Macaca fascicularis: one gene and its partners. The protein of the gene in region 4 interacts with the protein of the main gene of each other region in a pairwise test. Links are inferred from orthologs where the notes say so. Each region holds a gene or a part of one and is shown on either strand. Other genes may lie near its edges.

Region 1 (4,087 bases), on a different chromosome or scaffold from region 4:
AGGAATTTGAGGCTATGGTGAACCATGATCACTCCACTGCACTCCAGCCTGGGCGGCAGCAGCAGACACCAACTCAAAAAAATAATAAATAAAATACCCCTCATGGAAATCTCCTAAAATCCTTCCGCTCCCGAGTCTTGGCATGGCCCACATAACCCTCCCTGCTCAGCCCTCTGCCTGCTTTTCCAGCTTCCTCTACCACATACTAAGCTACTTACAGTAGCCCAGCTGTGTCCCGGTAGCTTCATGACTTTGCAAACGCTGACTCCTCTCCCAGACGACTGTGCCCCACTTTCTAAGTCTACTCCTCCTTCACAACCCCCCTCAACTACCACCTTCCAGGAGCCTTCCTGACCTCCCTCTAGCCCTCCCCTTTCTGGATGTGGGTAGGAGGGCCTTGTGCTTTCCCCAGCTCAGTATATGTCACACTGACAATACTTTGTCACTGACTCTGGTTTGTCTTTTCCACTAAACAATGCGCTCCCAAAAGACAGAGATCTTGTCTGGCACCCAGTAAAGGTTTATGCAACAAAAGAAATGAAAACTGCCAGTTCAAATGCAGAAATCGTGACTTGTGTCTTCCATCCCATAAAGCATGTCTTAAAGTGGAAAGCATCTTCTAAGACTAGTTAGTGAAACAGGAGAAGCAGCTGGCAAGACGCCACTGCAATTTATTTGAGACAGGTGGCAATCAACAGTCAACTTCCAGGGCGCACGTTTATCCTGCAGACCTCAAATTCCACCCTCCCCAATCCTCACCTTCTCTGCACCAGATAGAGAAGGCAGCAAGGTCAAGTCCCCATGGCTCTCACCTTTTCTCTCTGGAGAGCTGGCACAAACCGTCCCTTCTGGATGAAGACACCAGCTCCTTAGGAAGAATGACTTGTTTGAGTTCCCATCTTGATACAAACCACAAACAACAAAAACCGGGCAAATCTGAAAGCTTGCTGACTCAGCGACACAAATTCCAAGGCACCTTTGCCAACTAGGAAGAAGATGATCAGGTTTTAAATTAAACAGCAGTTAGTAAAAAACAAAGGTACAGATGTTGGATCCGTGTGCTGTGCCTGGGGACTGAAAATCACCAGATTTATTTTCCAATAGCCTGGGCGGAGCAGAAAGTACAATAGTCTTCGTCCACCCACTTAACAATCAAGGAGATAGTTGAAAAAAACAACAAGCAAACAAAACCCTGAGCCCTTTTTAAAAGTTTTTTATTATTATTATTTTTTGGAGACGGAGTCTTGCTCTGTCACCCAAACTGGAGTACAGTGGCATGATCTTGGCTCACTGCAGCCTTCGCCTCCCAGTTTCAAGCAACTCTCCTGCCTCAGCCTCCTGAGTAGCTGAGATTATAGGCATGCGTCACCACACCTGGCTATGAGCCCTTTTCTTTAAAAAAAGAAAAAAAAAAGTTTGTTTTTTTGTTTGTTTGTTTTTTGAGACAGGGTCTCCCTCTGTCGCCCATGCTGGAGTGCAGTGGTGTGACCATAGCTCACTGCAGCCTCCAGCTCCTGGGCTCAAGCGATCCTCCTGCCTCAGCCTCCCAAGTAGCTGGGACTACAGGCACCCACCAACACGCCCATCTGATTTTTTACAGAGACAGTGATCTCAGGAATCTTCTTGTTTCCCAGGCTTGTCTCAAATTCCTGGACTCAAGTGATCCTTCCACCTCGGCCGCCCAAAGGGCTGGGATTACAGGCATGAGCCACCGTGCCTGGCCTGAGCTTTTTCCACAGAAAGCCCTAAAAGGACTTCATAAGCCAGTCTGGCAGCTAAGCATCCAGGAAATCAACACACCAGAGACGGTAAATATTTAAGGTCACAGAGCAACCGAATCAGAGGGCTTGCTATCCAGATGGCTAAAGTAAGCCCGGATGGTGGCCACCAGAAAGTCTACCTTCTAGAGCGCTAGAGGAGCTAGGAGGGCATGCAGAAATATTCTGAGTTTCTCAAGGGTCCAGACGTCTGTACACATGCTATTTATTTCCATCGCTGTTGGCGCTTAGAGAAGTGGAGCCAGCTTGGAGGAGGAGGGCAGCTGGCTGAGACAGTCGCGATGAAAGCGCAGCTCCAGAAAAGGGAACCGAGTTCTAAATCTTTTTCGGCACCCCTTAAGGACCCCAAAAAGTGACCCAGGGCCCCAGGAACTCCCGGGAAGGCTCCCCACAGGAGAGCAGGGAAGCAGAGTTAGGAAGCAAACTCCTCCAAAGTACAACCCATGGCCCAGTGAGTCCCTTCACCTGGGGGTAGACCCCAGCAGGACCCACCCCTCGTCAGAGAGCCAGTGGCAATCTCGTCACCGCCTCCTCCGGGTACTTTGGGAAGGGGTGCGCTCCTCCCGAGCGACCCGGACTCCCGGGAGCGGCGCCCCTCCGCCTGCGAGCCCCTCAGCCTTCACCCGAACGTCCTCTCTCGCACCTGGCACCCTGTCCCGTCCAAAGCTCCCGGCGCCTCCCAAGTCCCCCAACTCCCGCCCTCAGGACCTTGATCCCGGAGACCGATAGCCCCGACACCCCAGATCTCCCGGGACCCCCGGGTGTCGCCGTCGCCCCCCCTCACACCCACGCCCGCCCCTTTCCGGTCCCAGCTAGGCTCCAGCTCCCCGCGCCACCCCACGCCCCCGGGACCGCAGCCCTAGCGACGCGCAGGTGGCCTGCCCGCCCTCTCACCAAGGCTGAGGAGGACGAGGGGACGGGACGGAGGGCACCACCGCGCTCAGGCTGCAGCTCCGGAACGGCCTGGGCAGGGCTCTGGCTGTGGGTCCGACTCTCAGGAGAAGGCAGCCAGAGTGAAACTCAGCGTCGCAGCTTCCGAGCGCGCCGCTGCGCATGCCCGGGGCGTGCGGCCTTCTGGGAAATGTAGTCCCGGTGGGGCCCAGGGGGCGGGCGGGAGGCGGGGCTCGGGGGGAGGGGCTCAACCCAAGGCGCACCTGCTCCAGTGTCTGTTTTCTTCCTTCACCTGTTCACTCATTGACTTATTCCTCCAGCAATTACTGACTTAATTTTAACTAGTTTTTACTAGTACATACATGGTGCCAGGTCATGTGCTACTGTGTTTCCCTTTTTTGTTTTTAAAATTAATTTTATTTTTCTTTTTGTACAAATGGGGGTCTTGCAGCACTGCCATGTTGCTCAGGTCAATCTCAAACTCCTGGCCTCAAGCGATCCTCTTGCTTCAGCCTCCCAAAGCACTGGGGTTGCAAGTGTGAGCCATCGAGCACAGCCTTTTTAAATTTAAATTTTTGTCTTTTTCTTTTCTTTTTTGTTCTTTCTTTCCTTTTTTATTTATTTGTAATATTTATTTATTTATTTTGCTACTGTGTAGTGGGAGTGTGGGAGTGAATAAGTGAATCAGAAATGGTTTCTCAGCTGGGCGCAGAGGCCGATGCCTGTAATCCCTGCACTTTGGCAGGCGAAGGCCGGCGGATCACCTGAGGTCAGGTTCTAGACCAGCCTGGCTATTCTGGCAAAATCCCGTCTCTACTAAAAATCCCAAAAAAAATTAGCCAGGCGTGGTGGCTTGTGCCTGTAATCCCAGCTACTCTGCAGGCTGAGGCAAGACAATCACTTGAACCCTGGAGGTGTAGGTTGCAGTGAGCTAAGATCGCGCCATGGCACTCTAGCCTGGGCGACAGAGAAGGAATCCCTCTCAGGAGGAGGAGGAGAAGAAGAAGAAGGAGAAGGAGGAGGAGGAGGAGGAGGAGGAGGAGGAGGGGGAGGAGGAGGGGGAAGGAGGAGGAGGAGGAGGAGGAGGAAGAGGAGGAGGAGGAGGAGGAGGAAAATAGAAAAAGAAAAGAAAAGGTTTCTCGCCGGGCGCGGTGGCTCGCGCCTGTAATACCAGCACTTTAGGAGGCCGCTGGGGCCAGATCACGAGGTCAAGAGATTGAGACCATCCTGGCCAACATGGTGAAACCCCATCTCTACTAAAAATACAAACATTAACTCGGTGTAATGGCGCGCGCCTGTAATCCCAGCTACTCGGGAGACTGAGACAGGAGAATCACTTGAACCCCGGAGGAGGAGGTTGCAGTGAGCCGAGATCGCGCCACTGAACTCCAGCCTGGGCGACAGAGCAGGAATCCGTC
Region 2 (2,173 bases), about 49 Mb from region 4:
GTCTATACTAAAAATACAAAAAATCAGCTGGGCGTGGTGGCGTGTGCCTGTAATCCCAGCTACTTGGGAGGCTGAATCAGGAGAATCGCTTGAATCCAGGAGGCAGAGTTTACAGTGAGCTGAGATTGTGTCACTGCTCTCCAGCCTGGGTGACAGAGTGAGACTCTGTCTCAAAAAAAAAAAAAAAAAAAAAAAAAGGAAAAGAAAAAGGCAGCTCAAACATTTCTGAAATTATACTTGGACCCAATGGAAAAGATGCTCCAATTTAAAAAAATTTGTTTCACCCATTTTTTTTTTCTCCTTATGAGTCTGTAACATTCAAAGCTGAAGCTGTGCTCTCCCTCACTTCAGTTGTCACAGCAATTTTAAAACTTATTTTTGTCTGTGTCCAGAGAGCTGCATTTACAAACAAGACAAAATTCTCTGTCTTCCAGCACTGACAAATGAGGACAGATGCATAAATAAACTTTTCAAAAATGTGAAAAACAATTGCGAATGAGTTTGAACCAGTTTCTCTGGTGGCAGAGAAAGGAAGTATGTAATTCGCCAGAAGGGAAGTGTGTGGGAGGCAGCTGACCAGGGAACCTCTCCCACTGAAAGGAAGACTCCAGATGTGTGGGTCAGCCTCATGGGTTTTCTGTCTTGCTGTCTTGTTCCTGGCTTTGCCTCTTAGCCTCCTCATTTTAAATTGCTGCATGCCTCAGCCTACCTTCAAGGACCTGTGTTTGAGTTAAGCTTTCAGATGCTGTCTTTTGGACTGACCTCTATTGATCCAACCCCAAGTTCCCTCAGGGAAATTCAAAGAAGGTCCCTCAGGGAAATCCATACAATTTGCTTATAATTCCTAGCTGCTTCCTACATTTTAGCTCTTAGAAGCTAGAACTAGCTCTAATACATTGTTTTTCTAACACAAGGCTTAATAAAGTGCCCTGCACAGAGTATCACTCAATACGTCTTGGTTGAGAGAATCAATAAATGAATATTCCCAGCTCAGCATAAACACATGCTTCAAAGAACTTAGTAATCAGCCAGTCACTGTGCTGACCTCAAACTACTAGCCATCACGGACCCCACAGAGCGAGAATGAATTACCTTTCGGACCATTTGTACGAAATCCTTGGAGTTCTGAGGTGACAGGCCCTGAAGTTGGCAGGTACAAGCTTCAAGGGAAGATGCGTGGGCCACAATCAGGATGTTATTTCCTGGGGGAAAATGGCAAGGAATGGGAAGACTGTTTCTATAAAGACATGGAAACTGCAAATACTGGAAGCTAACTAAATGTTCTGGAGGGGAGCAAACACACTCAAGAAAAAGACAATTTGCCTAAGCAATATTTTGTAAGTGCTTTGTTATTGATAAGGCAGCCTAATTTTTTTAAAGAAAACATTTTATCTTAAAATAGTTACAGATGTATGGAGCCAGGTGTGGTGGCTCATCCCTGTAATTCCAGTACTTTGAGAGAACGAGGAGGGAGGATCACTTGAGCTCAGGAGTTTGAGACCAGCCTGAGAAACATAGTGAAACCCTGTCCCTACAGAAAATTAAAAGAACATTAGCTGGGTGTGGTGGCCTGTGACTGTAGTTCCAGCTACTTGGGAGGCCGATGTGGGAGGATCACTTGAGCCCAGGAGATTGAGGCTATAGTGAGTCATGATTGCATCACTGCACTCCAGCCTGAGTGACAGGAGCAAGACCCTGTCTCGGTAATAATAATAATAATGATTATTGACTTATGGGAGGGCTACATATAATACATATACATACATACCAGCAAGGTCCCATGAACCCTTCCTCCCAGCTCCCTCCAATGGTAACATCTTACATAACTATGGTACAGTATCAGACCCAGGAAATGGACGCTGGTGCAATACACACAGCGTATTCAGATTTTAGCAGGTGTTCAAACAGTAGTTTGTGTATATGTGACGATATAGTTCATGCAATTCTATCATATGTATAGCTTTGTGTAACACCATGACAGTCAAGATACAGAACTGCTGTAGGTCCACAGGGCTCTCTGGGTTACTCCTTCTAATATAGTTTTAAATGCGCCCACTGTAGAACTGTGAGTACTTGAGACTTTCTGGTTGATAGAACATGTTGTGTACCTTTATGGCAGTGACTGGCTAATCAATGAAAACTGGAAGGTGGGCATCATCCATAATACTGTTGC
Region 3 (4,236 bases), on a different chromosome or scaffold from region 4:
ATAGCACAAGTGAGGCCCTGCACAGAACATCCTGATCCCACCGAATTTTCCAGACTCAATTTCCCTGCCTCCCTCAATCTCCTTGCATCTTCAGAGGCTGTTTACCTTTCCCCATTCTTGACCATGCTTCAAAGCCTGATAGCCCACTTTCCCCCCGCACCCACCAGAAGGAATGAACCCTTCCCAAATCCTTCTTGAACACTCATATACATCCTTCAACTCAGCTCAAAAGACCTCCCCCAGCTCAAAAGACCTCCTCTGCAGAACCTTCCAACACCCCCACTCCCTCAGAGCATATTGACCCCTCACTGTGCTCCCAAAGTCCTTAGGCCTCTTAGGCCATGACCTGTAGCTCAGACACTGCTTGTGTCCAGCTGTCTTGGCCAGCAGGCAGTGAGGTCCTAGAGCGGGCGGGCACCTTGTCTTTCTCATTAGTGTCACAGTGCCCAGCACAGGCCTGACAAAGGCGCCCACTGGGGACCTGTTTGACAAATAACAGAACAAAGCACAATAGGCCCCTGTGGTTTTCCTGCTTATGTCTGATTCATTCATTCGCCAAACATGAAATGCACCTTGAGTGCATGAGACTCCTCGCTATTTGCACTCCCTGCCAGAGGCCTGGTCCTTGTCTCACCCCTACCTTCCCAAGGGGCTTTGTGTCTTCCACGGGGGGCCCTTCCTCAAGCTTAGCCCAGTGATGTAGAAACAGGAAAGCAAAGAAGATGCTGTATTTTCCAAGGATATTCCTTCTGTCACACACACACACTCACCACCATCCACACAATGCAGGTTCAACATAAAAACCCACCATGCAGTATAGGGCCCAGTATGGTCCCCACATGCAGTAGGTGCTCAATAAATGCCACGTGAAGGGAAGGGAACAGACAGACCCTGCACTGCCTCCACCCCTGTGATTCCCAGACAGACATCCTATTTTAGTGGGTTAATCACTTCATCCATTGCCAAGGCACTCAAGCCCCCGGTGAGGTGTGAGGGCTTTGGACCCCACCTGCCCTCTAACTTCCAGTCTCCTGAGTTAGGGCACATAGGGGGCAGAGTGAGCGGCCTCACTGCATGGCACAAAGAGCGGCTACCGCCTCTGCTGTGCTCTCAGCTGCCGAGTGGTGGCCAGAGGGCATGCCAGCCTCCAGCTCCCGGGTGGCTAAGCCCATCATTACCCCAGCTCCATCCCTCCCTGGTGGGTGATGCAGAAACACCTGGGCTGCCTTCCAGGAGCAGCTCAACCAGGTAAACCCTTGGGCACCAAGTGGAAGCAGGAAGCTGGTGCTTCCAGATGCCCCAGAGGCCCCCAGCTACGCCCCAAGCTGGCTTGGCAAGGACAGTCCCAGCTCGAGTGCCCTGGCTGCCTATGCCACACCCAGATCATGCCAGGCCATGACCAGGCTTTGACCCATGCCCCAGCCTGGCAGCATCCTGCTGCGGTGACCCATTTTCCTGCCCAGTCATAGGAGAGAGGAGGCTAAGCTTGAAGAACCAGGCATCTGTGCACACCCATTTCCAGGACTCTGTTGTCACAGGAAAAGCTCCAGCTAATCATCTCACATGGTTCTCACAGCAGCCCATTACAGATGTGCAAAACGGTGCTGAGGGGGAGAGTGGACCAACCAAAGCCTCTTTGCTTTCCAGGAGGTGGAAGTGAGACTTGAACCTGGGGCTGTGTGGCCCCGACTCAAGCCACTCAGCCCTCACTCCACAGGCTCCCCCCTGCTCAGGGCTGAAGGGTCTTAGGCAGCCATCCCACCCAGTCCCCTGCAGGATGCCTGACCCCATGGCAACCTGGAAGGTGAGCTGATGTAACACAAAGAGTACTGAACTGAGAGTCCAGAGGCCTGGGTTCAAGTCCCAGGACCACCACTATCAGTACCAGCCCTTCCCTGTCTGACCTCAGTTTCCCCACCTGCCCAAGCCCAGGGTTAGCCTGGCTCAGAGGGTCTCTGGGCCCCGTTCTGTGCAGACAGGACTCTCCATCAGGGATTCCTGAGTATTTTCTTTTCCCCGACCCCTAACTCATGTGCCTCACAACTTAAGGCAACCTCTCCACGTGGGTCCCGACTCCAAAAATGGAGACGGACTAGTCGCCCGCAGGGACAGACGATCTGGTCCCCTGTGCAACTCCTAGATCCCCTCGTGGGGTTGGGGCAGGGGCCAGGAGTGGGTTGGTCTTTGACGGCTGAGCCCTCGGGTGGGAGGGGCCGTGGACTGCTGACTGGGGGGCTACTTAACAAAGAGGAGGCGACCCATAGCGCTGCAGCCTCCCTGTCCCTGCTTCCGTCGAGGGCGCCCACCCAGCGCCGTCGAGGCGGCGCCCAGGGCCAACTGGGGCGGACACGCTGGGGGCGGGGACTCGGGGCCGAGCTGGACCTCCTCAGCTGCACGTCCACGGGGGACAGCGGGGCGCGACCTGGCCCCCAGTATCCGTCCGGACTCCGTATTTCAGGGGTTCGGAACGCGGCGGGGGTGGTCTGGGGGCTGAGCCTCGCGTCCAACCCCCGTCCCGCAGGTGCACCCGCTCCGACAGCGACCCCGCCCACCGCGCCCCCTGCCCGCTCCCCGTTCGCGATCCCCCACGATCACTGACCATAGTGACCGGAGCCGCCAGGCCAGGTCCCGCCCCAGCGAGGAGCGATCCGGTGCGGGAGTGCCGCGGGAGGCGCGGGCGGGCTCCGCCGCTGGTTCGGTGGCGGGGACCTCGAGGGCGTGGGGGCGGCGGAGAATACACCCGACCACTCCGCAAACCAAAGGTTAGACCTCCACTGTGTCCCAGGAAGACACACGCCCCGCAATTGACGTCTCAGGCGGGCAATCAGGAGCCGGGATGCAGGACGTCATAGAAAGTGGGTGGGACTTCACGCGCCTTCAGCCTATGCTTTAGGGACCATTTGACAGGATGCCTCCCCTTTTTAAAGACACAGAAAGCTTTTAACTAGCAGAGGAGTTAGCTCAACCCAGAAAGACAGGTCCTCGTTTGCAAAGGCTGAAGGGCTTTTGCGCAAACCTAAAATTGGAGTCTTCTGAAGGATTAGCTGGCCCTCATTAATTCATAAACAAGGTCACATAAGTATAGTTTGCACAAGATCAGAGGATAGGCGCTTAGGGAACACGTGTCCAATAACATTAAGTATGGCTTCTACATAATATTTTACCCTCTTCTAACTCATGAATCAGTAGGTTGCCACGCACCCAGTTAATGTTTGTTGAATGAATGAATGTCCAGGATCGTTGACTCTGTGGCTCTGGAATTGTAGGGATATCCGTGAACCATGTCTAGATGACTCATCTTGCCCACAAGCTCATTATTAATGGACATCAAAATAGGAATATTTATCATTCAAAGATTCATTCACCAGCCCTTGAGTCCTGGAGGAGCTGCTTTGGGTGTAGTAGGGAGAGTTTGTAGGGAAGGGGGGCTCAGTGCATTGCATGCATCCACTTCACAATATTAATATTTCCAGGAGTGTGTATTGAGCAATTCCCCTTCCTGCTGCTGCCCCGCCCCTCCCCCCCGCCACAACTCTTACTCTGTAAGTCCCAGGCACGAGGCTAGGCTCTGGGCATACAGACATCTGAGTCTTCCAAGCATGTATCATGACCTGGGTAGGGAGTGTGGGGTCAATGGAGGCTCAAGGAGCAGTAACAATAGCATCTAACTTTTTACAGTTATTTATACAGTTATGCAGAACACCTACTATGTATCAGGTGCTATCCTGAACCCTCCACATATACAGAAGTATCTTGCTTAATTTCCTCACAACTGGTTTATGGGGGTAGGTCCTGTTATTATTATCCCTATTTCACAGATGAGGAAACATTACAGAGAGTTTAAGTTCCTTGCGTAAGTCACATAGCACTCAAGTGGGATTCAGTCCCAGGCAGTGTGACTCCAGAGCTGGTTTCCAATTCACTCTGCACGTGACTACAGGGGCTGTGTTACCTGCCCCCACCCTGACCCCCGTTTGTTTTCAGGGGGTTTCTCCTCTTTGTTTTTTACAGCCAAGAAAGCCAGGGAGGTGACAGGAGCAGCCCAGTGCTGCTGAGCTAAGAAGTGGCCTGGCTGGGCTGGATCCCCAGACTTCTGACTCCCCAGCCAGTGCTCATTCCAAGGCATGTTATCTTCCCTCTGCGGAGGAATGACTGAGCCAGGTTCCATGGTATCTGGGTGAGGGACATGGGTGAAGAGTCTCTTCAGCCAAGGTTTTGATGAGCCCTCAAGTTGGG
Region 4 (4,053 bases):
GTTAGCTGAGATTGCGCCACTGTACTCCAGCCTGGCCGACAGAGCAAGACTCTGTCTCAAAAAAAAAAAAAAAAAAAAAGAATTCAGATACAAGGAAAATCAGTGTGTCTAAAAATGTTCTAGGGAAGGTAGGACTTTGGTTTGAGTTTGAAGAATAAGAGAAAAGGAGAAAATGGGTGTGGAAAGACCAGAAAAGGAAAAATTTTGAGAAGGCGCATTGAAAATTGAGAAAATTCTCCCTTCTAACTTTATGAATTGGAAGTGACTACTATTATTTTTTTAATAGTGTAACTATTAAAACCAGGCAGGCACAGTGCTGAAGCGTGAATGAGGCAATGGGAAGTCATGGAAAGCATCTAGGCAGCAAAGAAAGGTTAGATTTGGAAATTATGTTTTGTGGAAGTAGTACAGCTTAAAAAATTGTCTAGGTGTAGTGTGGCTCATGCCTGTAATCCCAGCACTTTTGAGAGCTGAGGCAGGAGGGTCTCTTGAGGCCAGGAGTTTGAGACCAGCCTGGGCAATATAGTGACACGATGGTCTCTTACAATTAAAACAAAACAAAAAACAAAACAAAAGAAAACAAAAAACAGTTGTTAGGTGCTCCTTTTAAACAATTCAAACAATATGAAAATAAAAATTACAGCCGGGCACAGTGGCTCCTGCTTGTAATCCCAGCACTTTGGGAGGCTGAGGCGGGCGGGTCAGGAGGTCAGGAGATCGAGACCATCCTGGCCAACACAGTGAAACCCCATCTCTACTAAAAATACAAAAATTAGCTGGGCGTGGCGCGTGCCTGTAATCCCAGCTACTCAGGAGACTGAGGCAGGAGAATCGCTTGAAACCGAGAGGCGGAGGTTGCAGTGAGCCGCAATCGCCTCACTGTACTCCAGCCTGGCTATAGATTCAGACTCCGTCTCAAAAAACAAAAAAACCCTACGTGCAATCTGACACCCTTTCCCCCAAGATAATCATTGCTAATATTTTGGCGAACCTCTTTCCTGAAATCTCTCCATGCTTATAGAATATTGTGTCAAACTTCACATAAATGTACCCGTGTAGACATGACGTTCTGTAATCAGTTTTTTTCCCTGAAGAATAAATTGTGAATAGCTTTTCATATCAATAGATTTATATCATCATTTTAAATGGCTCCTTAGTATTGCATTGTATGTATATGTCACGCCTTATTTAAGCAGCACCCTATTGATGAACATTTACTCCCCCCATAATTAACTACGTCATATAACAACTTTGTGCATTCATCTTTTCGAAATTGTTCGATTATTTTTTAAGGTAAATTCTTGAAAGTAATGGAGCTGGGTCAAGAAGTATGCGCTTTGTCGTTTGGATTCAAGTTGCCGAATCGTCCTCAAATTTGCAGGGAGACCAGCGAGGAAGCTCCGGCATTAGTTCTGGTGAAAGACAACTGAAACAGAGATGGCGAGGGAAGAACAGAATTACAGGTGATCTAGCCCATCAAGGCCCATCCTCGGTGGGCTGGCATATTCCTTCCCTTTGCCTCTCTTTCACTTCTTTTTCTTAACATGGAGGAAGAACCGAGAACTGCATCTCCCAGCATTTCGCAGGGACCACACTCCCAGGGAACTGTAGTGCCGGGTCTGAGAGGGGTCCGGAAGGAGAACAGGAAGCTGAGAGGCATGCTGGGAGGTGTAGTCGAGAGAGAGAGAGAGAAAGAGAGAGAGAGACAGAGAGCAAGAGCGAGAGAAAGCGCGAGCGAGAGAGAGAGAGAAAGAAAGAGAGAGAGTGTGTGTCTATGCAAAGAGGATGGAGACGTTGCGAGTATGGCCCCTTGGGGATGGGGCCTCGGGCGACCTGACTTTCCTCACAGGTGGTCTTTGAGTCTACAGAGTCTGCCAGCGGATGGTTGGCTTTATTCCATTGTGCGTGACCGGAGAGGGCGCGGCCCCTCTGCACCGGGCTGGCGGCGGGAGGCTCAGGCCGCGCGCGGGCTAAAGCAGGGCATGCCGGGAGTTGTGGTCCCGGCGCTCTGAGGCTGTGGGACGTGTCGCGGCGCCGCGCCGGCTCCTCCTTCCCTGCCCTTCTCAGCGGTCCCCCGCCTCCTCCCTCCGCCTCCTCCTCCCTCGCCCGCAGCCGAGCGTCCCCTCCCCCAACCCGTCGGGCTCCTCGGCGGCTACTGCAGAGGATTCAGAGCCGAGTGGCTGAGGAGGAGGAGGCTCCGGTCCCCGCGCGCCATCCGCCACCCTACTGGACACGGGCGAGGGAGCGAGAGCGTCGCCGCCGTAGCCTCCGGAGAAGACAAGGGCATCGCCGCCTCAGCCGCCGCCGCCGCCGTTTTCGCCTGCAGCTGCTCACCGGTGAGGAGACTCCCCCCGCCACCCGGTCCGCTGGTCCTGAGCCTGGGCCGGTGGCGCTGGCGAGAATGAGAGTGGGGGCTGCGGAGCCCCCGTGCAGGTGGTGGGGAGGGGGTTCAGGTCGCGATGGAACGGCGGGCTGGTGGGGGAGACTTGTCCAGGCGCTGGCTGGGGGTGGGGTGAGGGTGGGACCCAAGCAGGTTGGGGGGCGGGCGACCAGGGAGGAGGACTTTTGATGGAGAATAACACAACCTGGGACAGGAGAGTGGGGTGGGGGCGCCAGGTTGGAATTCGGGATGGTCTTGGGGCGAGGTGGAAGATGAGACTAGGGTGGGATGGCTTTTAATGGGGGAGGGGACTGAATGAGGGTGGTGATTTGGGTTTGGCCTGGAGCAGTTGACAGCTTGGGATCTGAGCTGGGGTGAGGGGTAGGGGAATGATTTCAACGGAGAGTGAGTGGCATGTACAGGGCTGGACAGGACCCTGCGGAGTGTTAATTCAGGAGGGTGGAATTTGGGGTAGACCTGGGGCAGGATGATGGAGGTGGCAGGAGTTGGGGGTGAGGGGCTTGGCATGGGTTGAGACCTGAGCTTGAAGTGGGTGTTTGTCATCTGGGGCTGGTGGAATTTGTGGAGACTTACGGAATAGCATGGGTTAGGATAGAGCAGAGGAGTGCAATTTGGGGGTTTCCTGGGGTGGGCTGATGGAGGTTGGAATAGGAGTTGGTGGAGGTGAAACATTCAGTGAGGGGAGTGTGATGGTGAGCTGGCAGGAAGGGGTCACATTGGAAGTCAGGCCCGAAATGGGAGGACAGGGATGGAAATAGAGTGTGGGGCACAGTGGGTTGGATTTAGGGTGATCTTACAATCACTGGAAAGGGCATGGTGGCTCCTTGGTTCCAGGGTCAAGGCAGAGGGCACATAAAACATCACTGGGCTGCATTCATTGAAAGGATAGCGGCAGGGGTGAGCAAAGTTGGGGGATGGTATCTTGAAGAAAATGTCCCTTGGCCAAGGTGGCAGAGGGAGTTTTGGAGAAGGACTTTCGGAGATGAGCTGGTAGGCCTGGGGAGGTGGTTGCTGATGGTGAGGTGGCACAGGGGAAATTTAAGGAATGGGAGACCTGGAGTTGTTGGTATGGATAGGGCAGAGAGGATGGAGAGGGACAGTGAGCTGTGCGGGAGAAGGGGGTGGAAATGGGTTGGATTATTTTGGAGATGAAGAATTGGGATGGCCTCCAAGAGACACATGAGGGTTAAGGGTTGGAATACTTAAATGGACAGCCTTGGTGGCTGTGATTGGGGGAGAGGCAGTAAGCCTGTTAGAGGGGACTTTGCAGGGGACACAGAAGAGAGCATCTCATTCTTAGGGGCCATTTTAATCTGTTCGGTTGATCTTTTTGTTTGTTTTATTTATATTAGTATAATTTGGAAGTCAAGTCAGCCCAAAGGGTAAAGTTGAAAGGGGATTTAGTTAAGGTAAAATTAAGGAGGGGAGGGTGTCTTCTGTTATTTGTATATCATAAAAAGTAAGTTGGGGGAAAAGGAGCATACTTCCAAACTAAAGGTGGGAGAAGATAAACTGGAATGTAATAGATATCTTTCTATATAATATTTCTGCCTTTTCCTTTCCCCTCTCCTCCTGGTGCATTTAAAAACTATACCTGGAATTTGAAATTTAAATAGATTTGATGAGCTTGAGATAGTTAAGGGTACATTTCT
Region 5 (3,500 bases), about 63 Mb from region 4:
CTTCTTGAACCAATTCTGAACAGCAAAAGCAGTGAATTTCCTACTCAGCCCCAGTGAAAACATTCATACCAAAAACAGAAGCTTCCAGTTTTCTTGGGGTTAAGACAAACAGGGGTATCTGTACAGCCTATTTCTAATCATCCTGGGCTTTAAATCACACCATTACAGACCACACTAACAGAAAGGATGTTTCTCTTGGTAAGATTAACAGCAACCAATTAATGTGACAAGAGTTGTCCTGCACATTGCAGGCTACCAGGAAACCGCAAGAGCCAGCCCCTCACCTTTGGAATTTGCAGTCTGAAGCAATGTGGCCAGCCCCTCCACACTTGGTACACACTGTGGTGTTGGTAATGCTGCGGGTCTCTGAGCTCTGCCAGGGTCTTAAGATCCTATTAAGGGAAAAAGAGGTCAATGCAAGGGGACAATCTGTACTTCCACAGGTTCTTCAGGTCTCCACACACACTCGTTTAAACTGATCACATACCTGTTGTCATCTTCACGAAGGGTCCCATTCAAGCGAGCCAACTCCCGAAGCTGCATCTTCCGTAGATCATTCTGGTCCTCTGGGGTCTCGATACCCTGCTTCAGGATGTTTCTTATCTAGTGAATATGCAATGAACAGTTAAGTGCTTAGGGCTTCCGCCTAGGTTTCTGCCAAGACGCTTCCTTTCTGGGCTCACCACTCACCTGTTCCACTGCCTTTTTGACGTTCTCCATTGTGTTGGCGGTGACCAGGGCATGAAGTGGTTCATCTTCTCCCGGCAACATCTGGCCATCTTTGCGCCCAACCTTCCCTTCTTTCACAGACCCTTTCCCCCGGATCATAATCTTGGCATTGCACTCCTTCTCTATGTTCTTCAGGGTGTTTCCTCTATAGAGAGGCAGAAATGACTGAATTTATACCTGACAAGTTCATACTCAAGAGGGAACAGAGGCTGGACCAATTTGACACTGGTGGGAAACCAAAAGCACAGAGAATTGGATTTTCCCACCAAAAGCTCCATGAACTCTACATTACAGTCAGCCACAGTAAACCTGAGGATTTGACTTCTCCGCACTAGCACGGAAATTAAAACACCTTCTCACAGAAACACATTAATTCAGTCAAAATGAATGTCCTACCAAAAAGGGGAAAAGTAAGCCAACAGTTCCCAATTAGGCACAAAACAGACACATCTCAGAGGCTCTAAAGGAATTCTATATCCTATAGACTAGCAGTTACTCACCTGGGCCCGATTAGCAGCCCCACAAAGTTGATTTCTGGGTACTCATCTTGGGGAATCATGACTTTATCGCTCACACGTGTTGCTGGAGGTCTAAGAAAGAAAAGCCTGTCACTGCACACATTTCTGGAGAATGACGCAGTCAGTAGCTTTTCTAAAACTAACTACTGGTACACCAAGTGCTAATTATGGGTGATTTGGGGTAAGAGGTGAGTAGTGCCAATATTGTCCCATCCCAGCAGGTCACCCATGATCTGCATGTGTCCTCATCCCAGATGACCTAGCCCCTCTGCTTACTTGTAATCTGCAGGTGGCTTGAAATCTGGATTGAGTGCAACCATCTCTGTGATGAGGTTGTGCCGCTCCTCTTCCAGCTTTTTGCGGGTGCGGAACTCTCGGGTGTTAAGCCGCTTCCCCTCGCTATTGTAGATGGGCTCAGGGGAAGGGGACCTGTGGGAAACAGACTCCCGTTTACTATTCTGCCCCGACTTCTCTCATTCCCACACGGACTATAACAAGTCTTTCCCAGCCCCTCTGCCTCTCAGACCCTAATACAACACTCCGGAGGAACCGACCATAACGTGTGCTACTCAAGATCGTGTGGAATGGGGAGATGGAAGCTGGCTGAACGTTAAGGGTCTGGGGTGTGTGTGAGAAAGGAAAAAAATAAAAGGTTTTGCATCTAGAAGTGATGAGAGAAAAAATGTCTATCCTTTGGGGAAAATCTCTGGACTATAAGTGGCAAGGACAGTATCATCCCCTGGAGTCTTCTTGCCAAATATGGATTTTCTTCCATTTGAAAAAAAATTACAATATTCCAACTTTATGAACCACAGAAACCCCAAGTTTAGGCAAAATGTTCACTCTTGGAGAGCTAATGCCCTACGAGGAAAAGCTTCTGTACCCCTAACACATAGTGCGCATAAGCTCCTTAACCCAATGCAACTGGGACTGAAGGCTACTGCAGCTACTGGCCCCCACAATGGAGAGAGATGGTTCAAGGCTTCGTCTTTGCTTTTCCTTCAATGGCCTGGCTGGCTGTGTCCAAGGCCCAGGAGACAACCTGTTTTCTGGCTGTTCGAGGTTGGGGAGTCTGAGTAGAGAAAAACGTTAAAGTGCTAAAGCAGCTTCTGCGAGAGGCTGCAAATGCAGATTTGGTCAAATACTTGTCTAGGGTCTGAACCTGCAAACAGCAAGGGGAAAACCTATGATTCTCCACCAGAGTTTACAAGTCCAGAAAGCAGATTTTCTCTCTCTCATTTTTTTAAGGAGTAAAATGCTGTTGCTACAAGTAAAAAAATATAATGATAAAATGGTCAGTTTACCACAGCTGGATTTTGCGGTAATAAAAAAGAGAGGTTACACTCCTAGAATTTTGAGTTAAGATTACAAAAAGGACCATAGCTTGATATTCTGAATGAAAATTTAGTAGCAGCTGCAAGAAGGGAAGAGACCATGTGGATCAGGTTATTAAAAAAACATCCTGAAAGTAGTCAAGACTCCTATACCCTTGGTTTAGTTGAGAGAACCTTGCCTAGTTGGAGAGCAAGGACTGAACTCGGCTGCTCCCACTGTCTTCAGCCTAAAGGGAACCATGTCACACCACGTTACACACACGATGGAATAAAAGGTCAGGTTTGTTCATGGCTAATGACGGCTAAATGACACCTCCGTTTCTAGCATTTGTATAAACTGTTAGCACAATCCAGTAAAAGTGAACAAAAGCAAACATACCCCAGCTCATTAGACTACCATCTTATACATTTAAGTCTACAAGAAAAGTTTTAAACATGTTTTACTGTGCAAGTTAAGCAGCATCGAAATAACAATAAAGTGGCTTAATTGATATAACACCTTTTTAATAAATTATCTTAATTAAGAAAACCCATGCATTTCCCTCCAACCTGGGCTCAAAAGCAAAACCAATCAGGCATTAGGGCCTCTTTCAAAACTGAATACAAGGGAGGAAAAACCCTGCTCTGGTTTTATTTCTAACATGCTTGACATTTCTAATTCCCACCCCATAGCTGTCTAGAATTAAGCACTCTTGGCTAGTTACAAAAACAAGTCTTACCAGCACCCAATTACCCAATTGGCCATGTGAAGGCCTCACAACAGTTTAACCTCTTCCCAAATTGCAGAAGTGAAAGGCAAAAACTAGTATTCTAGAGGTTAGACTGGCCCGACTTCTTCACCTCCAATAGGCATCGGCTAGATCAACTAAATTCTAATCCCAGTTATCCAGGAAGCAAAGAAGGTTTGTTAAAAATTCAA
Region 6 (3,985 bases), on a different chromosome or scaffold from region 4:
CCCTTACAGGAACTCAAAGGCTTCACAGCTGTTTCCTGGCAACCAGAAGCACAGATTAATAAAGAGCCTCACTCTAAACCTGACTAAGGAAGGCCTCAGGGCCCTGACCACACCTGGAAGACTTCTCAGGGTTAGAAAGCAGGGAGGCCTGTACACTCATTTTAGTTTAACCCAAGTAAGGTCTGCTTAGCACCCTGCACTCTTTTCACTGCCTAGGGACTCTTAGCACCCTGCACTCTTTTCACTGCCTAGGGACTTAGGTCAGATCTTGCCATACTCCTCTTTTTAAGACTCTTATTTATTCATTCAACAAATATTTACTGACTGCCTACTTCATACCAGATACTTGTTTGATGGCTTCCCCTCACACCAAGTCAAATCCAAAGCCATGTCTCTCCAACTCATCTCTTTAACAAGCCTTGCTTGCACACTAAGGCCTTTTATCCTGTTCTTTCAACATGCCAAGCTCAGTCCCACCACAAGGCCTTTGCACTCACAGTCCACCCTCTCTCCTACCTGTGACACTGTAGGGTTGGCGCTTTCCATTATTCCCCTCAGTTGAAATGTCACTTTCTCAGAGAAGCCTTCCCTGACCACCTCTCCAGACACTCTTTATCATATCACACAATTTCCTCCATAGCACTTACTGCTATCTGAAATTGTCTTATTTATTTACCCCTTAACAGCCTTCTCTCCTTGACTCGAATGGAAGCTCCCAAAGGACACAGACTATGTCTGTTTTGTTTGCTATCCACAATGGGACATAATAGGCCCTCAGTAAATATCTTTTGAATAAACAGACAAAAAGAATTTTGGGAAGTCCATTTTAGGGCACCTCAAAGCCTGTTCTATGTTATTTAAACCATGCCAAATGCTCTTGTATTCCACTCGAGAGCAGCTGACATTTTATCTGATCGCCATAGCCATTTACGAAGCACTCACTTTTTAACTGTCAGGGTCTCCAGAAGTTAGAATCGGGCACCTGTTAACTCAGATTGTAGGTAGCCAACCGAGTGACTGCAAGCAGGGCTGAGCTGCAACAGCACCTTATTGCTGGCTACCGCCAGCACACTGGGCCCCTTGCTTCATTACGACCTGGTACGAGTGTTATTCTGGTGAGAAGTTTCCCCCAGCAGTCTGGCCTGACTCAGAATCTCTCTTCTGGGAGTGCCTGGGGCAGCGTCTTGGTAAATGAATTGACTCAGCACTGTTCCAGCTGAAACCAAAATCGAGTAAAAGGATTCATGGTCTCCGCTATGCTGCAAGAAGACCCCACTGTTTTAAATGCAAAAGGCAGCAGCTTCTGGTGGGTCACTTCAGTCAGATCCCCCATATTCAATTTCTTTTATTCTCACCCCAACCATCAGACAAGTATGGCTCCTTGAGACCGCAGAGGAGCAACACTGTAAAGAATTTCCCTCACCCTATTTCTCATGGATCACCAATTCCTTCCCAACACTGCCCCTGCTGTGGCCTTAAATACCCCAATGACTGCCGTACTCAGGTTCGTGTCCCTGCAGCCCCACAGTGGGGAACACTGTGGTTCTGTTTCCTTCCTCCATCAGAGGTAACCCATCTTCACCCCATCTGAGAGCACCTCCTTGGCCAACTTCACTGCCAGGCACCCGAGGGTGCAGCCTCACCCAAGAGTGTCCATTTCATCTATTCACCTCCCTACTCCCATCAGCCAGTGGGGAACTTCTGAGCTGAACCCACATATCTGTCCCAATTATCAAAGGAGTGGATGAGAGTGAGCGTCTCCACAGAAGAGACACTTCTAGGATATGCTTCCCTCACTCAATTCAAAAAGAGGAGACTTATCTCGTTTACAAGAAACATCTCTGGAACCCGACCTTCTCCACTAACTCATTTCAGGGGCTTCCCTCAGTTGAATCCCCACTCCCAAAGAGACATCCTCGGGATTCCCAATTCACCTGTTCTTCCTCATTCAATATCAGAGGCTTCCACCAATTGCCCCAACGGACCTGTCCCCTGAAAGCGAAATTGGAGCAATCCATCTGTATCCTCGAATAGGAGACTGGTAATGATGGGGTCATTTCACTATCACTGCAATCAAGTCCCTGTGGCATCTGAATCCTTTCCCCCCCGCTCTCACTTATCATGCGGAGATTCCTTAATTCTCCCCAAAAGCAGCCGCTCCAAGGCTCCTCCTTTCTAGTCAACACAGCTATTTCCTCGGCTAACCCTATCTCTAAAACTAACGCCGGAGCCGTCCCCTCAACCAATAGGGGATCCTCTCGAGTCACCCCCTCAGGATCCCGTTTCTTCCTCCCATCCAGCTTGAGGGGCTCCTCTGATGTCCCCTCCAGACATCCCAAGGCCCCCCCCTCAGCCGCACCCCTGGCACCCAGTACGGGACTTCCATCCGCTGTGGGGCGCCTCCTCCTCTAAGGAACCCCTTGGTCGCCCCTTAAAGAGTCGCCAGCCCCGGTCTCCTCAGAAGTGCCTTGGAGCTCGCTCCTCGCCCACTCCGGCTCCCCCAGGTAGCGCAGCGGGGCCCTCACGCCTCCCGGGGGAGCCTTAAGGCTCGCCGCGCCGCCCACAGGCCCCTCAGCCCCCCGCCCGTGCTTCCGGCCACCGCCTGCCCGTGGCTGCAGCGGAGCCCACCGGACAGAGGCGGCGCGGGGACCCTGGCCCCCCTGCAGGAGCCTTTGAGAGTCCCCAGCCCCCGGCCCAAGCCCATGCCCCTTCGGCCGGCCGGGCCCGGCGCCCCCGCTCACCCGAGCCCGTGGTGGCTGCCATCTTGCGTCGCTGTTGCTTGAAGGCCGGCCCCTTCTTCACCCCCCACCCGTCCCCTGGCCCTGATGCGCAGGCGCGCGCGCACGCACAGACGCCGCCACTGACGCCCGCTCCGGAGACCTGCGCGACCCGAGGCCGGGGAGGCTCTTTTCCTTCCCTTTTAGAGAAAGGAAATATCTGCGTGCTCGAGGGCTCAGCAACCTGCAAGTCCCCCCACATCGGGTGCGAGGGAGGTTGTGACGTGCTTAGTGAGAAGGGCAGGGGTGACGAGGCTTGGGAAGGCGCGATTGTGAAAGAAAAAGAAAAGATAGCTTCAAACAAAAGCGCCGAATTCACTTGGGGCTTTTTCCTGTCTAGTTCCTATCTAGATCCTCACCACATCTCCACAAGGTCGGAATTAATGTGAAAAATGCAGCCGAGAGAGATTAAACGATTTATCTAAACTCAGCTGTTAAGTGGCAGAGACAGACAGAATTTTAACCTCCAGGTTCAAATTTGAATTTGAATCGTCACCCTCCAGGTCAGATGATCTGGCTTCTAGGATTGATGCTCCCTGGCCAGAGAAGGCTTGAAGTGGGTGCAGCTAAATGATTTGGGGGCAATAAGGTGGCAGGGAAAACATTTGCTAACCATCTGCCCAATTCATTCATTCACTCATTCGTTCGTTCATTCATTCAACCAAACAAACATTAAGCACCTACTATGTACCAGACACTGTGCTAGGAGCTGGGGATGGATAGACATCTCTGAAGAAGCAAATCCCTGCTTTCAGGGGCTTCCATTCTAGTCATAGATAGCAAGTAAATAAACAGGAAACTACAATTCTGATAGGCTAGAGATAAACCAAGAAAAGGGCAGCGGAGGATGGTCAGGAAAGGCTTCCTAACGTGGTCGTATTTCAACAGAGACCCTAACAATGAGGAGGTAGAGGGAACAGCTTGTGCAAAGGCCCTCGGGAAATATTTTTGCAAATAAACCCAAGAAGTTAATCCTCCTATATTATAAATTGTCTGAGAAGCCCTTATATGGATGTAGACCCTGAAGCTGAGACAGGTGAAGGGACTGGCTTAAGGTCACAGAGCAAAATACTGGCAGAAGGACTAGGACTCTAAACAAAGAGGGACAAGGAAGCTGGAAGCCCTCACCCAGCACATCCAATTCATCACCTTTGTCTGACAACAATGCCTACTCTGCATCTCTCCTGCTCCATTCACTTCTCCACTCA
Region 7 (3,500 bases), on a different chromosome or scaffold from region 4:
CACGTTTTCTTTTAAGTTCTGTTTTCACCCACAGCAGCGCATGTGCATGGTTCACAACTGCTCAAAGCACCCAGAGAGGTTCCAGGGAGACGCAGGGGCCCCCATCCCATCTCTCCCCACCCCCGACCCGAGAGCTGCGGCCGTTCCTACAGTGGTTCTTCCGGGACTTCCCTCCCTTCAATACATACAGAGGCTGAACCACAGTTCCGACCCGGCCACCTCAGACGCCGTCGTTACCCCCAGTCTGTCAGGAAGGGTTGGTCACCACCGCCCACACTCCCATTTCTGGTGACTCTAGTGGTATTTTTGGTTTCTCTGAGTCATCTCTGTTACCTGAGGTGATACGCCCACAACTCCCGATTTTAGGCAGTGTCGGGGTCCTTGCTGGGTAAAGGGGGCCACCCCAGCGGGTACTCACGGCAGGAAGCAGGGACTGCATGTTCTGGTTGGAGTCTGCGATCGTGGCCAGGTACACCAGGTTCCGGTGCAGGATTTGCTGGTACCTGCAGGAGAGGGGGCATGCGTGAGGCAGGAGGACGGGACCACGGAGTCCCCAGGTGGATCCAAGGCAGAAGTAAAGTGTGAACACCACAGTCTGACAACCAACCAAACCTCATGAGGACACGGACTCCAGACGACACCCAGGGACAGGCCAGCTGGTTGCCCAGCTGGACACAGGCAGGTGGCAGGGTGCTGGGGTCTAGGTGGGGACGGCAGGGCAGCCTCTACCCCAAACCCTGAGCAGGCTCCCATCCCACACCAAAACCTCTGGAAAGACTCTAAGGCAGCAGCTAACGGGGAGCTGGCACTGGTCTGCTCAGAGAATGGAAATGGGGGAGGCCACGAGGAGGCAGGGGCCTGAAGGTGACAGAGGGACAGAGCCCTTGTCCAGCTGAACCAGGCAGTGGGCAGACTCCATAGAGTCAGCGACCCTGAGAAAGCCCTGGAAAGAAATGGGGAAGCACAGTTCTGCCAGGGAAGGCCCCTCGTACACCTCACACCAGTGGGGCCCCAGTCCCCTCACCCCACTCACACCCAGGGGTGTCTGAGGCCATTCACCTACTTCCCGCCTCCAGGTCAGCCTGATGGCCACTCGGACAGCCGCTTGGAGGGTGGCAGACTGGCCATACACCCCTCCTCTGTGTCAGGCCCTAGGGTCACAGGAGGTCCCACCTGGAGGAGGTGCTGTCTCCCGGCCGTAGAGCTGCCCACAGAGGCTGGCCCGGGCCTCCCCACACTGCTCTTTCCTCCCGCCTCCCTCGGAACTACCCCAGTTCTGGCAGCAACGCTTCGCAGCTGTGCTGGGGCCTCTCGGGACGTATCTGACCTCCGCACCGGGGGGCTCTGGGGACGTATCTGACCTCCGCACCGGGGGGCTCTGGGGACGTATCTGACCTCCGCACCGGGGGGCTCTGGGGACTTATCTGACCTCCATGCTGGGGACTCTCGGGACGTACTGACCTCCATGCTGGGGACTCTCGGGACGTATCTGACCTCCGCACCGGGGGGCTCTGGGGACGTATCTGACCTCCGCACCGGGGGGCTCTGGGGACGTATCTGACCTCCGTGCTGGGGGACTCTCGGGACGTATCTGGCCTCCGCACTGGGGGACTCTCGGGACGTATCTGGCCTCCGCACTGGGAGACTCTCGGGACGTATCTGGCCTCCGTGCTGGGGGGCTCTCGGGACGTATCCGGCCTCCGTGCTGGGGGCTCTGGGGACTTATCTGGCCTCCGCACTGGGAGGCTCTGGGGACTTATCTGGCCTCCATGCTGGGGGGCTCTGGGGACTTATCTGGCCTCCATGCTGGGGACTCTCGGGACTTATCTGGCCTCCATGCTGGGGGACTCTAGGGACTTATCTGGCCTCCGTGCTGGGGGGCTCTGGGGACTTATCTGGCCTCCATGCTGGGGGGCTCTCGGGACTTATCTGGCCTCCGCACTGGGGGACTCTCGGGACGTATCTGGCCTCCATGCTGGGGGACTCTCGGGATGTATCTGACCTCCGCACTGGGGGGCTCTCGGGACGTATCTGGCCTCCATGCTGGGGACTCTCGGGACGTATCTGGCCTCCATGCTGGGGACTCTCGGGACGTACTGACCTCCGTGCTGGGGACTCTCGGGACTTATCTGGCCTCCATGCTGGGGACTCTCGGGACGTATCTGGCCTCCATGCTGGGGGGCTCTCGGGACTTATCTGGCCTCCATGCTGGGGACTCTCGGGACGTATCTGGCCTCCATGCTGGGGGGCTCTCGGGACTTATCTGGCCTCCATGCTAGGGGGCTCTCGGGACTTATCTGGCCTCCATGCTGGGGACTCTCGGGATGTATCTGGCCTCCATGCTGGGGGGCTCTCGGGACGTATCTGGCCTCCGTGCTGGGGACTCTCGGGACTTATCTGGCCTCCATGCTGGGGACTCTCGGGACGTATCTGACCTCCGCACTGGGGGGCTCTCGGGACATATCTGGCCTCCGCATTGGGGGGCTCTCGGGACATATCTGACCTGCGCACTGGGGGGCTCTCGGGACATATCTGGCCTCCATGCTTAGAGTCTGCATGACCCCCAGAGTGTTCCGCGGACGGCGGGCGGCACTCACTGCGTGCACTCGGCTGTCTTGCCCTTGCTCTGGTACTCCAGGATGCACTGGATCAGGTGGTGGTTCTCGTCCAGCATCTGCGGAGAGAGCGTGAGCGGGCGCTGCCGACGCGGGGCTGCCGCTGGCCCTCGGGATGAACCGCCACCGCTACGCATCTAGTTTTCATATAGGCTGAGTGGCCCTTACGTGAAACGTGTCACATTTCAGATTTTTCCAGATTTGGAGGTATCTGTTTTAGACCCACCGGTTTGGCATCCCAAATCCGAGAACCTGAAATGCTCTGATGAGCGTTTCCTTTGAGCCTCATGTTGGCGCTCAAAAAGTTCTAGATTTTGGAGCACTTCAAATTTCCAGATCTGGGATGCTACGCCCGTTCTGTACGTGAAGCTGTCGTTCCATGCATGGCCTCAGCCACCACAAACCAAACACTCACACATCCCTGTGCTAAGGACTTCGCCAGTAAGCGGCAGGGCCATCTCAGCCCACAGATGAAAACATGGAGGCCCCATGCCTCCAGCAGCCCCCACCCTGAAGGACCCTCCAGCTTCCAGGGCCCTTGACTGCAGAGCATCTGTGCAGCAAGGGTCAGCCAAGTCGACAGCAAGGATGTCAGGACCCCGTGGGCACCCCACAAGAGGCCCTGGAGCCCCCAGCTGGAGGGGACAGCCTCAAATCACAACCACACAGGGTGGGACACAGGTAGCTGCCCCCCTCAGGATCAGCAGGGGTCCAGGGCACTCCTAGGTGGGGGGCATCAAGACTTCCTGCAGGGGCTGCCACCAACCGCGGTGGGGGAGGGAAGGAAAGGGTCTGGAAGGGGCAGGGACAGCACTACGGGTAGAAGAAACCACACACAACACAGGCCGGTGTGGGGGCAGGAAAGGTGGGTGAGACTGCGGAACC

Evidence for each region.
Region 1: the proteins of FAM168A (region 4) and DTX2 interact in binary tests that used the Homo sapiens proteins (3 or more experiments, as listed by UniProt). The two-hybrid records come from large-scale screens. The link is inferred for Macaca fascicularis from reciprocal best matches to the Homo sapiens genes FAM168A and DTX2.
Region 2: the proteins of FAM168A (region 4) and UBASH3B interact in binary tests that used the Homo sapiens proteins (3 or more experiments, as listed by UniProt). The two-hybrid records come from large-scale screens. The link is inferred for Macaca fascicularis from reciprocal best matches to the Homo sapiens genes FAM168A and UBASH3B.
Region 3: the proteins of FAM168A (region 4) and OTUB2 interact in binary tests that used the Homo sapiens proteins (3 or more experiments, as listed by UniProt). The two-hybrid records come from large-scale screens. The link is inferred for Macaca fascicularis from reciprocal best matches to the Homo sapiens genes FAM168A and OTUB2.
Region 5: the proteins of FAM168A (region 4) and SF1 interact in binary tests that used the Homo sapiens proteins (3 or more experiments, as listed by UniProt). The two-hybrid records come from large-scale screens. The link is inferred for Macaca fascicularis from reciprocal best matches to the Homo sapiens genes FAM168A and SF1.
Region 6: the proteins of FAM168A (region 4) and UBE2V1 interact in binary tests that used the Homo sapiens proteins (3 or more experiments, as listed by UniProt). The two-hybrid records come from large-scale screens. The link is inferred for Macaca fascicularis from reciprocal best matches to the Homo sapiens genes FAM168A and UBE2V1.
Region 7: the proteins of FAM168A (region 4) and SS18L1 interact in binary tests that used the Homo sapiens proteins (3 or more experiments, as listed by UniProt). The two-hybrid records come from large-scale screens. The link is inferred for Macaca fascicularis from reciprocal best matches to the Homo sapiens genes FAM168A and SS18L1.

The regions. Positions count from the first base shown.
Region 1 is NC_088377.1:51,269,024-51,273,110, forward strand, and holds the start of DTX2 (probable E3 ubiquitin-protein ligase DTX2), read right to left. Parts: upstream 2,801-4,087; 5' UTR 2,673-2,800; intron 986-2,672; exon of another isoform or gene 813-985; intron 1-812. UniProt on the Homo sapiens protein: Regulator of Notch signaling, a signaling pathway involved in cell-cell communications that regulates a broad spectrum of cell-fate determinations.
Region 2 is NC_088388.1:121,604,525-121,606,697, reverse strand, and holds part of UBASH3B (ubiquitin-associated and SH3 domain-containing protein B), read right to left. Parts: intron 1,203-2,173; coding exon 1,093-1,202; intron 1-1,092. UniProt on the Homo sapiens protein: Interferes with CBL-mediated down-regulation and degradation of receptor-type tyrosine kinases. Promotes accumulation of activated target receptors, such as T-cell receptors and EGFR, on the cell surface.
Region 3 is NC_088381.1:162,040,940-162,045,175, reverse strand, and holds the start of OTUB2 (ubiquitin thioesterase OTUB2), read right to left. Parts: upstream 2,801-4,236; 5' UTR 2,603-2,800; coding exon 2,600-2,602; intron 1-2,599. UniProt on the Homo sapiens protein: Hydrolase that can remove conjugated ubiquitin from proteins in vitro and may therefore play an important regulatory role at the level of protein turnover by preventing degradation.
Region 4 is NC_088388.1:72,428,677-72,432,729, reverse strand, and holds the start of FAM168A (protein FAM168A), read left to right. Parts: upstream 1-1,253; 5' UTR 1,254-1,463; intron 1,464-2,135; exon of another isoform or gene 2,136-2,336; intron 2,337-4,053.
Region 5 is NC_088388.1:9,621,260-9,624,759, reverse strand, and holds part of SF1 (splicing factor 1), read right to left. Parts: intron 1,677-3,500; coding exon 1,524-1,676; intron 1,320-1,523; coding exon 1,230-1,319; intron 875-1,229; coding exon 691-874; intron 604-690; coding exon 488-603; intron 393-487; coding exon 285-392; intron 1-284. UniProt on the Homo sapiens protein: Necessary for the ATP-dependent first step of spliceosome assembly. Binds to the intron branch point sequence (BPS) 5'-UACUAAC-3' of the pre-mRNA. May act as transcription repressor.
Region 6 is NC_088384.1:106,203,791-106,207,775, forward strand, and holds the start of UBE2V1 (ubiquitin-conjugating enzyme E2 variant 1), read right to left. Parts: upstream 2,801-3,985; 5' UTR 2,764-2,800; coding exon 2,742-2,763; intron 1,217-2,741; exon of another isoform or gene 943-1,216; intron 1-942. UniProt on the Homo sapiens protein: Has no ubiquitin ligase activity on its own. The UBE2V1-UBE2N heterodimer catalyzes the synthesis of non-canonical poly-ubiquitin chains that are linked through Lys-63.
Region 7 is NC_088384.1:118,203,956-118,207,455, reverse strand, and holds part of SS18L1 (calcium-responsive transactivator), read right to left. Parts: intron 2,675-3,500; coding exon 2,598-2,674; intron 504-2,597; coding exon 419-503; intron 173-418; exon of another isoform or gene 1-172. UniProt on the Homo sapiens protein: Transcriptional activator which is required for calcium-dependent dendritic growth and branching in cortical neurons. Recruits CREB-binding protein (CREBBP) to nuclear bodies.